Neodiprion lecontei: one gene and its partner. The protein of the gene in region 1 purifies or fractionates together with the protein of each later gene. This does not show direct contact. Links are inferred from orthologs where the notes say so. Each region holds a gene or a part of one and is shown on either strand. Other genes may lie near its edges. The genes, in order: RNA-binding protein 28 and RNA exonuclease 4.

Region 1 (6,068 bases):
TATAGATTCTGTTAACGGAACTTTCGAGGATTTTTTTCGTTCATTTGTTATCACTTCTTAAACAATGGTTTGACTGTAGTATCCGTAATAATGGGGCTTACGCGGCGGCGATTTCAGATGTCGTAGAATAAAAAGGGTCAACATAATGTTCGCTTTTTAACGTATAAAAATTTGAACAATACTGGTACGCGTACACCAAATATTATAATGGTTCAAATTTATTGTGACGTTTTAAGGGAAAAAATCTGTCACCTACAAATCAAAGGCGATCATTTCCTGGCGTTTTAAATACAGTAAATTCAAACTAGCGCGGCGCCGTGAACATGAAAAATGAAAAGTAGATTGCCCATAATAAGGCGCGCTGGATCATTAATTTGGCTGGGCAATTGGATTATTTTACATAAATAAGCGGTATTATTGATCTATATAATTGTTGTTTGGGAGCGTCAAGGTTGTCGAATTAATTACATAAGCACAATACACTTCCGTGAAATAAAAGTCTTTAATTTTCAATTTAAAAAAAATTTACAATTCAAAGTCTAACGCAAAAAAAAAAATACTTTATATACATGGCGCAATCCTAATTTTTCAAATATAAGTTATTATGTTTCGTACCACTTGGATTTTTCCTTAGACGTTGCCATTAATTTATTCTTATAATTGTTCACCAATTTGCTGAAATTTATATCTTCTTTGTTCACTTTTTTCTTTGAACCCTGTTTCGGCTGTTGATGAAATTAATAAAATTAGAGTTAGCCAACGATTAATCTAATAAGGTCGTTTAAAAAACAAAGTCACAAATTTTATGTGAATGGGGAGGTATAATTAAGACTTACCCTTATTTCTTTTTGAGAGATCCGTTGTTCCTTTTTCGTCTGCTGAATTTTCGCTTTAGACTTTTTATTTTTTAATTCTCGTTTCATAGTTTGTTTATGTAAAATAGCTTGAGACTTGAGATTGAATCTTGATCGCATTTTTCTCTCTCCTGGTTTACTCGTTACACCAGAATATGGCTGAACATCACCCTCGTCATTACCATTTTCCAATCTAGGATGCTTCGCAGGCCGACGATCCTTGTTTCTATTATTGACAGTCGGCCTACCAATACTGTTCGTTTTCTTGTCATCCGAATATTTGCCATCTTCGTGTTTTCTCTTATTTGTCATGGGCCGGTCATTCTTAGTTTTTAGATTACTTCCTGTCCACAGAGGATTGCGCTCTCGACTTTTTTCTACTCGTTTTTTAATGGCATTCACCATTACTCTGTTTTCGATTGAAAACGCGACAATAGGCCTCTGAAAATAAGAAGTTTGGATAATTATTTATTCAAGATCCTGTCAGATATAAATTAATTACCTTGGTGGTGCCGAAGATTTTTGGATTGTTATTTATACTTCTCAACGCTTTCAGCGCATCTTCGTGGCTTGTAAAGGCAACGAAACCGTATTCTTTAGACCTGCCAATTCCATTGGCCTCAATGTTTCGTAAATCCCGCATCACTCGGGCCTGAAAGAAATAAAACCAATATGAACATGCGTCATAAGTAAATAGAGATATTTAAAATTAACTCCTGACCGAAAAGTGGTTATAACCTCTCTTATAACTGCTTTTGGCCCAGAATGGTTCTGGAAAATTTCTCGCAGCTTTTTGTCATCCACTGAAACGGGTAAATTATGCACAACCAGACGGACCCTTGAAACGAACATATTTAAATTTCGTAGCATTTGCGATTTCCATTGTTCTAATTGCAAACGACGAGCCATGTCCCCTGCAGATACTCCTACTGCAGCTGGACTACCAGCCAGTATCACTGTAAGGAATTAATCCATCGTTCACGTGTTGTTACGCACAAACCAAATAACAAATGAATGACCATGTAGCACAACAATCCAATCTATATAAATTTCATATTATCTTACCTCCTTCTTTGACAAGGTACAAGTTTCTAGAATCAGTTGCTTTTTGTTTTTTCAGCTCTGATTTATCTTGCACTTCATTTCTGTTCAGTGCTTTATGAGGATCTAGAGTTTGATCATGTATACGTAGCTCAGTTCCAGCCGATAAACATTTCTCTGCATCCTCCACGTGCTGTAAACGGTATTAAACCGGTTTATTTATGAACATCAATTTTCATCACTTAATAAAATATTACAGTGTACAACTTACTTGAAATTTAACAAATGCTGTTCCTTTTGAATGCTCTGTAAGGGGGTCCATACAAACAAGAGCATAATAGACTGGACCAAACTGTTCCATGCATTTCCTAAGATCGTCGTTGGTCGCAGAAAAGGGAATATTTTTAAGGAACACCGTTTTTCCCTCGTTAACGTCATTCGAAATTCGGCGTGGTCGAGAAGCCTCATTCTCGTCAAATTTCTCATTCTTGACTTCATCTGGTGAGATCTTAACTTCCACTTTATCCTCATATTCGTCTTCGTCTTCGTCCTCATCATCATCTTCATCTTCTTTGTCATCAATTTCATCCTCGATACTTGCACCAATAGGTTTTTCATCCTTACTCTCCCTGCAAAAAAAAAAAGATATGATTAATGGAACTTGGTCATGATTAATAAAAGCTTGAACTTGCCTGTCATTAGATTGATCCTCTTCCAGTTTTAAAGATGAGTCACTTTGGTCTGGGTCTTCATCCAAGCCTGAATCATCTCCATCGGGTTCTTCCTTTTTTAATTCAACTTCTTCTATTGCCGCTTCATTTGGGTCCTTCTGTTCATCGGCCTTACCAAACTTTGTTTTTGGTACAGCCCAATCAACCACTATTGGTCGACCCAACAGAGGTTTTAAATTTAAATGATGTATCGCCTTAGCTGCACTCTGAACATTATTGTATTGAACAAATCCACAACCAACAAGTTTTCCATCTGGTCTAGTTAGGATCGTGACTTCTTCTACATTGCCAAACGGTGCAAAGTGTTCTTTCAATAAATCATCAGTTATCTAAAATCATGAAATTTCATTAAGACTTAATACGAAAATGTCTTCCTAACAATCATTAAAATCAAATAAGAGTATATTTTCATCCTCACATTAAATGATAGATTTCGAACTATAATCCTTGCTCGTTTCTGAATGTGTTTCAGCCTATCTTTGTCTTTTTTTTTCCTCTTTAGATTTTTTTTCAACTGAGTTTTTGACAGACAGGTAGACTCTTCATTTTGGGTATCAACTTCTATGTTGCTTTCTGTTTTATCAGTTAGATCCTCAGTCTTGTCAACATCGTCCTTAATACCTTCGGCAAATTTGTATTTTGGTATTGCCCAATCTGAAGTGATGATTCTTCCTAAAATTTGATTAAAAATAATGTAAATGTACAATTCATATTCATTGATAGTGCAATTGGTTGGAGGACTTAAATTTACTGAACAATGAAACCAGAAAAACACTGTCCTTTTTTTTGTTCAGTCTTACCGAGCAATTCTTTTTTATTTGTGTTGAATATCGCCTTTGAAGCTTGTTCTACTTTTTTAAATTGAACGAAACCACAACCCACCAGTTTACCACCTGGGTGACGTAGTAGATTTATTTCTTCAATTTCACCATACGGTGCATAATGTTTTTTAATGTCATCCTCAGTAACCTGAAAATATCCATTTAGTGATAAGTTATTACACATTGATGACTTTTTTATCTTAAATGAAAAAAACTTTACCAAAGAGAGTTTTACCTTGAATGGAAGATTACGAAGCACAATTCGAGCCTTTTTATTTTGGACTTGTACGTTTGTGGTATCCTCAGGAGCTTCTTCAGCACGTTTGTTTTTCAAAATTCTTTTTTTGTTCCGATAAGCCCAGGATAATTTTTTTTCTCGTCCATTACCTGGAATTGATAGATCGAGTATTATGAATATTAATCGAGGCAATTTAGTTAATTTTAATCGATTAATATACAAAAAAAAATTAATTAATTTAACAACAAATTCCTCACCACGATCTGATTTCTGCATAGTGGTTGATATGACTGTCCAAGTATAATAGAAGCAGCTGAATTAAATAAATTTCAATGAAATCAAAGACGTTAATCTCATAAACAATCTCAATCTGTAATATCTTTAAGACGTCCACATTCTTTCATATGACTGTTTATATTGTGAGCAGAGAGAAACCTTTGTGAGGTTATATCGCAGCGTGTCCGACACTCACGTAAAAATGTCAATGGCGACGGTTGAGAACCACTTTGAGAACTGAATTTCTATATTTCCCTGTATAGCCTGAAGATGTCGTTAAAAAGAAAAATTTTTGCTATCTTTGTCTACTTTGGGTACGAAATAAGTAGATTGGTATTACTGGTTAAGACTTAAGATTTCCAATTTCACGTTGGACAGTTTTCTTTATTTACTTAACAGGGTGCAAGGTTCTGTTGTGTTGGTGGAATTATTTCTTTATATCCCGCCCGTGGTTATGTTTTTTGTCTTTTGTATCGTCTCCTCGGAATCTCTTTTCAAAGGCATCAAAGACTTTATTAATAAACAGATAATAATTGTCAATTAAACGTTTTGTTGATCATCTTGTGCGCGAGAGCCTGCAGACACATTCCATTCGGGGCTTCACACCATCCGTCGTATCGCTTATGTATCATTTACAACGGTAGAATGAAGTGTCTTGTCTCTACGTGTTATTAAAACGTTAAACGTACATGTCGGAGCGACAGATTAATACGGCAGAAAATATGTCGAACTCTTATTGTGTCGATGAAGTGCAACCTCTTGATGTAAGCGATATCATCGATGTTTCGGCCTTTGACTTCTCGGACGATGAGAGATGGTAAGTTTATTAATCCCTGTTGTTAACAACTTTTTGGTTTTCGAACACCATATCCCGTTTATAAAAACTCAACAAAATACATCAACATCATTATCAAATTAAGCGTAGTAAACAGGTTATTCCATCTTTCGCTTTTACGAAACAGAACGTATGTATGTGTACATGCTAGTTGAATCACCTCATCACTGATGTGTATACTCATTTCTGTCAATGACTCACAGCTTGTGTATTATTGTATATTTACTGTTTACACAAGTTTGAAAATCAATGGCATCTTATGCCTAACTAAAGTAAAGTTGTTTAAACAAAAAGGTTTTTCTGATTAGAAACTGATCATAACTGTCCCAGTGTCTGACTATTATAACAAAACATTTATGAAGAGTTATAGGTTTTATGCTTTTTGTTACGGATACTATAAATAACATGTTGTTTCAGGCTTCATGTATGTGCAAATTGTTCGGCGGAGGGCAATGTCCAAGATCTAAACAGCTGGTTAGGAGATGGATCGGAATTGGATTTAGAGGAAAATGAAGCTCTGAATGGTTTGTTTTTTTTCATTCCTACTTACCCACGCACACAGTTCCCGGTTAAACCTTATAGTAGGAAAGATGATCTCATTTTATGAGGTGAAGCAATATAATTGCCTTTTCATACATAATCATTTATGTATTTCCTAATATAGTCTGATAAATTAAACACCAGTCTGACTATTCTGCTGGTTTCACTTGTTGAATAATGTAAGGTATCATCTTTCATTTTTTCTATTTTTTTGTTCTTGAACTTTAATGAGTTTCGTGATTCTTATGTTCTTTCAGGCACAAGGCGCTCTATCGATACGAGAACGTTCACAAGACACAAAAAGCGTAACAACAGACTGAGTTTTGAATCTATAATAGAAGCATTGTCGCCACCAGCTTCCAATGTATGGAAGAGGTCTCCAGCACTAGCAGGCACTAATGTCAATGTAAGTATTCTTTGGAAATCAAACTTAAATAGACTTGACACAAATTTCGATAGGCTTCTCCTTGAACCAGTTACTAGTTTTTAATGCTACGTTAACACCGACCTTTTGCTATTTTAAAATTGTGAACTAACGAAAAGTATTCACACCTGAGATATTATAAAATTTTGAAATAGATGGACAAAGAAATCAGTTTGACAAATAGCGAAAAGGAATCCGTACCAGCTATGTTAAATCCAACATCAAGCCAAGTTAGATCAGGTATCCTTGGTTCATCTGGACAAGAAAGTATGGAAGCATTCCTGAATTTGTCACAATCTAAAGGAATT
Region 2 (4,801 bases), on another chromosome or scaffold:
GGCGGGGGATAATTATTTGAAAAATGTCGATTACGTAAAATAAATTTAGGATTAGACGAACAATGAGATTACCCGTAGCTCAGTACTGTTACCACGCGTAGCAGATGACTTAAAATCTATACCACACTGTTAAAAGGATTAAGAAAAAAAAAAAAGAAAGTAAATTAGAAATATTTCTCGAGGTTTGACGCGAATTTGCTGGGCGGATCCTTTGGACCATGTCGTTCGACAACTTTACCGTCCTTGTCAACGATGAATTTGGTGAAATTCCATTTGATAAAGCTGCCCATGATACCACCTTGCTCTTGCTTCAAGTATTCCCAGAGTGGGTGGGCATTTTCTCCGTTGACATCGATTTTCTCAAACAAGTCGAACTTTACCTACAAAAATAAGAATGAAAAAAACATTGATTATGACAGTTTTTAGAGCACATAATGTCTTCCGATTTCATCAATTTAAATGAAATTTGGACAGGTGAACTGTATCATGAAATCGTTATAAGATTCAAAAATATTTTCCTACATTTCGGCGTTCAGCGAAACTGCAAATTTGTTCACTAGTGCCTGGTTCTTGCTTTCCAAACTGATTGCAGGGAAACGCAAGGATGCGCAGTCCTGTAAAAGAACAAAATGTTATAAATTACTTATTGGATATTAAGTAAAATATGTCAATAGAATCACAATCTTGACCTTTTGTTTCAGCGTATTTGTCATGTAGCTCATTTAGTTCCTTGTAATTTGATGACGTCAAGCCGCATTTTGAGGCGACATTTACAATGAGAAGAACATGACCCTTGTACCTAAAATAACCATTGAAGCACCATTAATACTTTCGTCTCATCATATGTTGCTTCAAATCAAGTTTTGTGAAACGCTCTTAAAAACTTTGTTAAACATACTTGGATAACGGCACATCTTCTCCTTTGATGGATTTGACAGTGAAATCATAAACGGATGTAGCATTTTTGAAATCTTGATTTCCACTCATACCTGAAAACATATTGCTGTTATTGTTGTGGAGTGGATGGATATTTTTCAGAGATTCACAAATTCATATAAAATGCAAGTATTTTTAAAAAGGCCAGAACGCAATGCAATTAATGATTTATGAGGAAAAAACACAGAACAAATTAGAAAAAGCATTATTATAATAGATAAATAAAGAATAAGCCTAACATTGAGCATGTGAGATACGCAGAATTGGTAGAGCTGTGACCCGACTGATGCATGTGAACATGTTTAATTTATTTTCGAGAATTTATTCTCTATTGTGTTCTTTGTTGAGACGTCGTGCGTGAGCCACGGTCTAGAAAAGCAAAAAAGCTATTCTGATTAACCATGTCAAGCATCAGATTACGCAATAGTTGATAAGAAGCTATCCTCGTCATCTGGCGGGAAAAAATGAAGTACCAAACTAGTCTACTGTTCTTTGTGTTGCCGGCGTACAAAACGATTGATTTGATTTAGGAATTCAATTACTGTTCTACTGAATGATTGAAATTGTACGTGTAGACTTTGTTCACCTGTGATTTTCTTAGTATGGTAGATTTCTTAATTCGTCGTCGGAAGTCGATGACAATAAGCAATAACTTCAAGCTTGCAAAATACAAACTAGCGTAGTAAACAGATCGAAACGACAACGGCACAGACAACAATCCTGCAGCTTCTAGGATTACCCTGAAACGCGGAGTACGTATTAATGAGATGGGCGACTACTACTCAGTGATGCCTCGGTGTCCGTAGGTAACGTAGAGCATTGACGATCGACCGAGTGGTCACGAAAAAAAACCTTGAGAAATAACCTCGATCAGTGGCGAATTCCTGAGAAAAGAGTGGCTGTTATGGTTATGTGCCATTATTTTGAAATACCATGCATTTGTACTGATCGTACTGATATACAACTAGCGATCTGCCAAGAGTGCAAAGTTGAGAGAAGGGAGACATGGTAGAGGCGGCTACCTTTCTACCGGTAATTATTGTTGTCGCGTTATTAATTTTGTGCCGTGATATGTTATCGAAGATGATGAAAGATCAGCAGAGTATAACCAGAACTAAAAGAAACACCGAAGAATCAGCAGCCAACAACAAAAAGTCATTTTCGACCAGCAGCGAGTCTAGAAATATCGAAAAACGAATGAAACCTAACCAGAAACCGAGCAACGGGCCAGCACATGGTACCCCAACAACAAATTGGGAAAAATTTAAAGATCTCATAAAAGACTCGGGATCCGATGAAAAAAAAATTAGGACCAATAATGCTCATGCAAAAACTTTTCCGAGGCAGAGGAGGAACTACAGTCATGTAGAATGTACTGCATCCACACCTGCCTCGGTAACTATATCCGAAAATCAGTTTGTTTTTTAATCTAGTCTGAACGATCTCATAAACGTACTACCAGATTTTTTTCTAAATCCACGTACTTTAAAATGCAGAGTCTTTGTGATTTGTTACTGGGGAACATACCCGCTTTGCGAGGAAAATATCTTCTTAATTTTCCAAGATGCTTACATCACTACGTTGTCCTACCATATTATCACTTTACCACCTAAATTCTTTACAGAATATATCAATTTTCATTTCAGACCTTTTCCCCCACCGCTAAATCCAAGGTAAATATCGCAAAGAACAAGACAATGAATCAATTGACAAAACAAGTAGCAATAGACTGTGAGATGGTTGGGATTGGAAACGGAACTGAGAACATGTTGGCACGGGTCTCGCTAGTTAATAGGTACGGAGTATGTGTTTACGACAAATATGTCAAGCCGCGAGAAAAGGTTCAAGATTACCGAACACCAGTGAGTGGAATTCGTCCTGATGATCTTTACAATGGGGAAAACTTTGAGACGGTCCAAAGAGAAGTGGCTGAAATATTGCAAGGAAGGTTACTCATCGGCCACGCCCTCAAGCACGATACCGATGTCTTGTTTTTATCCCATCCCAAGAGAATGATCAGAGATACATCAAGATATAAGCAGTTTAGAAAAGTTTCAATGGGGAATACACCGAGTCTAAAAAGACTAGCTGCAGAATTGCTCGGTATTGATATACAAAGCGGCGAGCATAGTTCCGTAGAAGATGCTAGAACTGCGATGCAGTTATATATGTTGTATAAAAATCAGTGGGAAACTGATATCAGAACTAAGCGGTGAAAAATTTTGTATATTTTCTTTTACTTGCGAATTACAGGTTACGTTTTATTCATGTCGGGCATTTAAGGTATGGCAAACATTTTTTTTAAGAACGTACAACTGTTGTTATTGTATATGAAATGTTGACGAGCTCGAATTTAATAATTTAATTTCAATGTTGAATGAAAAGACTGTTGTAACATACATAAAATTAAATATTGCGGGGTTAGTCACCAGTAACTTTCCTCACATTTTAGTTCCATAGTTAAGTGGTAATCTTCAACGATTAGCTCCATGTATGGGGTGCGTATTACATTCTACTTTTGCAACAAGGTCAATAACGATTTGCAATAATAGCAATCGATTTTACAAATGTGCTAAGTAATTTACTTACTCAGTTACCTACAGTTTTGTTCTTGTCTATTACCGATAAGTCAACTGTAAAGTGAATCATGTAACTGTTTTTTGATGAGCTGGCTTAATCTAATTAGTTGAAAAGAATTCGTACCCCCCTTAGATATCCAATAAAATATTCACATCTGCAATAAAATGCTAACAGCTTTTCTGAATTTCTCTCTGCTGGGTGCTGTCTTGTCCATCACAGACTAATTCCGTAAATACAAATAGGACCTTGATTTGTTTAACCACCGACTATGCAACTATTGTTTCTGTGAATTCGTTTAGAACTAGTTGAGTTGAGATAAAAGAAGAATTTCGAAAGAAAACCATAGTAAAATGATTACTGCCTTGATATATGAGTATTAGATTATGTATATTAACAAGAAGTAAATTATTTCATGTTGAGATGACGCATATTTTCTACGACTAATCAATTATTTCTGTAATTATGGAAAATAAAGTATTTTGTTTATAAAATAATTGTTAGATTTATTTTGCTATACGACAGCTTAATTTGTTTGAAAATGTAATGATATAACAGATAAATTTTGAATGAATAAGTACTAACAAACATCTGTTCGATCAATGGAAGTTAGTAGAGTCACAAAAGGATTTTTCAAGGAAACATTAAATGTGAAAATGATTAGCCGTGAATTTTTCAATGTTGTATACATAAGAAGAATAAAGAAAAATCTTTGTATTCAAACAATGAATACATAGCTCATTTGCTACATTCCCGTATTGGTGATTGCCGTGAGTGAACGACCTTGTTATCAGACACATTCCCTCTTTTCTGGAATGTATTTCTTGCTACTTCCCATCAAACACACTGCAGTCTTCATTGTTTCTACAACCAGCAACGTGGGCAAGAGCATTACTTGTGCATCTGAGTACAGATTGCGCCTTGGTGGAGAAAAGATTGTTTGCTTTCATCAGAAAAATCATAATAATACTTTTTGCGAGCAATAATTTAATGCAAATAGAAGTGAAGTGAAAAAATAAGGCCTCAATTCTTAAAACAGACCAGAAAATTTCATCACTGCTGCATAGGGTAACTCTGAATTCTGAACTTTGCATTTATTTACAAATAAACATTACGACATTTGACCTTATGACTCTTTCAAGTGGGGAATTTTACTCTTCAGGGTTTAATTTCGTAACAACTCATGAATGACAGTTGTATATTACACATATTACTTTTACTCAGCTGCAGTCTGATAGAAAGTCAACAAGACTGCAGCAGTACTACAGATTAACAGTAACTTTCATAA

Evidence for each region.
Region 2: the proteins of RNA-binding protein 28 (region 1) and RNA exonuclease 4 purify together in Homo sapiens (affinity purification with mass spectrometry; 3 studies listed by BioGRID and IntAct, with this or other methods). This does not show direct contact. The link is inferred for Neodiprion lecontei from reciprocal best matches to the Homo sapiens genes RBM28 and REXO4.

Annotation. Positions count from the first base shown.
Region 1 is NC_060265.1:7,494,270-7,500,337, forward strand, and holds RNA-binding protein 28, read right to left. Parts: upstream 4,176-6,068; 5' UTR 3,962-4,175; coding exon 3,943-3,961; intron 3,835-3,942; coding exon 3,683-3,834; intron 3,596-3,682; coding exon 3,427-3,595; intron 3,299-3,426; coding exon 3,045-3,298; intron 2,956-3,044; coding exon 2,588-2,955; intron 2,525-2,587; coding exon 2,167-2,524; intron 2,089-2,166; coding exon 1,920-2,088; intron 1,811-1,919; coding exon 1,593-1,810; intron 1,507-1,592; coding exon 1,357-1,506; intron 1,296-1,356; coding exon 837-1,295; intron 726-836; coding exon 603-725; 3' UTR 524-602; downstream 1-523. Other genes in the region: uncharacterized protein LOC107219962, read left to right, coding at 4,651-4,778, 5,214-5,320, 5,594-5,742, 5,916-6,068. UniProt on the Homo sapiens protein: Nucleolar component of the spliceosomal ribonucleoprotein complexes.
Region 2 is NC_060264.1:30,467,172-30,471,972, forward strand, and holds RNA exonuclease 4, read left to right. Parts: upstream 1-1,779; 5' UTR 1,780-1,941; coding exon 1,942-2,331; intron 2,332-2,582; coding exon 2,583-3,152; 3' UTR 3,153-4,007; downstream 4,008-4,801. Other genes in the region: probable phospholipid hydroperoxide glutathione peroxidase, read right to left, coding at 165-380, 523-614, 690-799, 899-989, 1,176-1,236.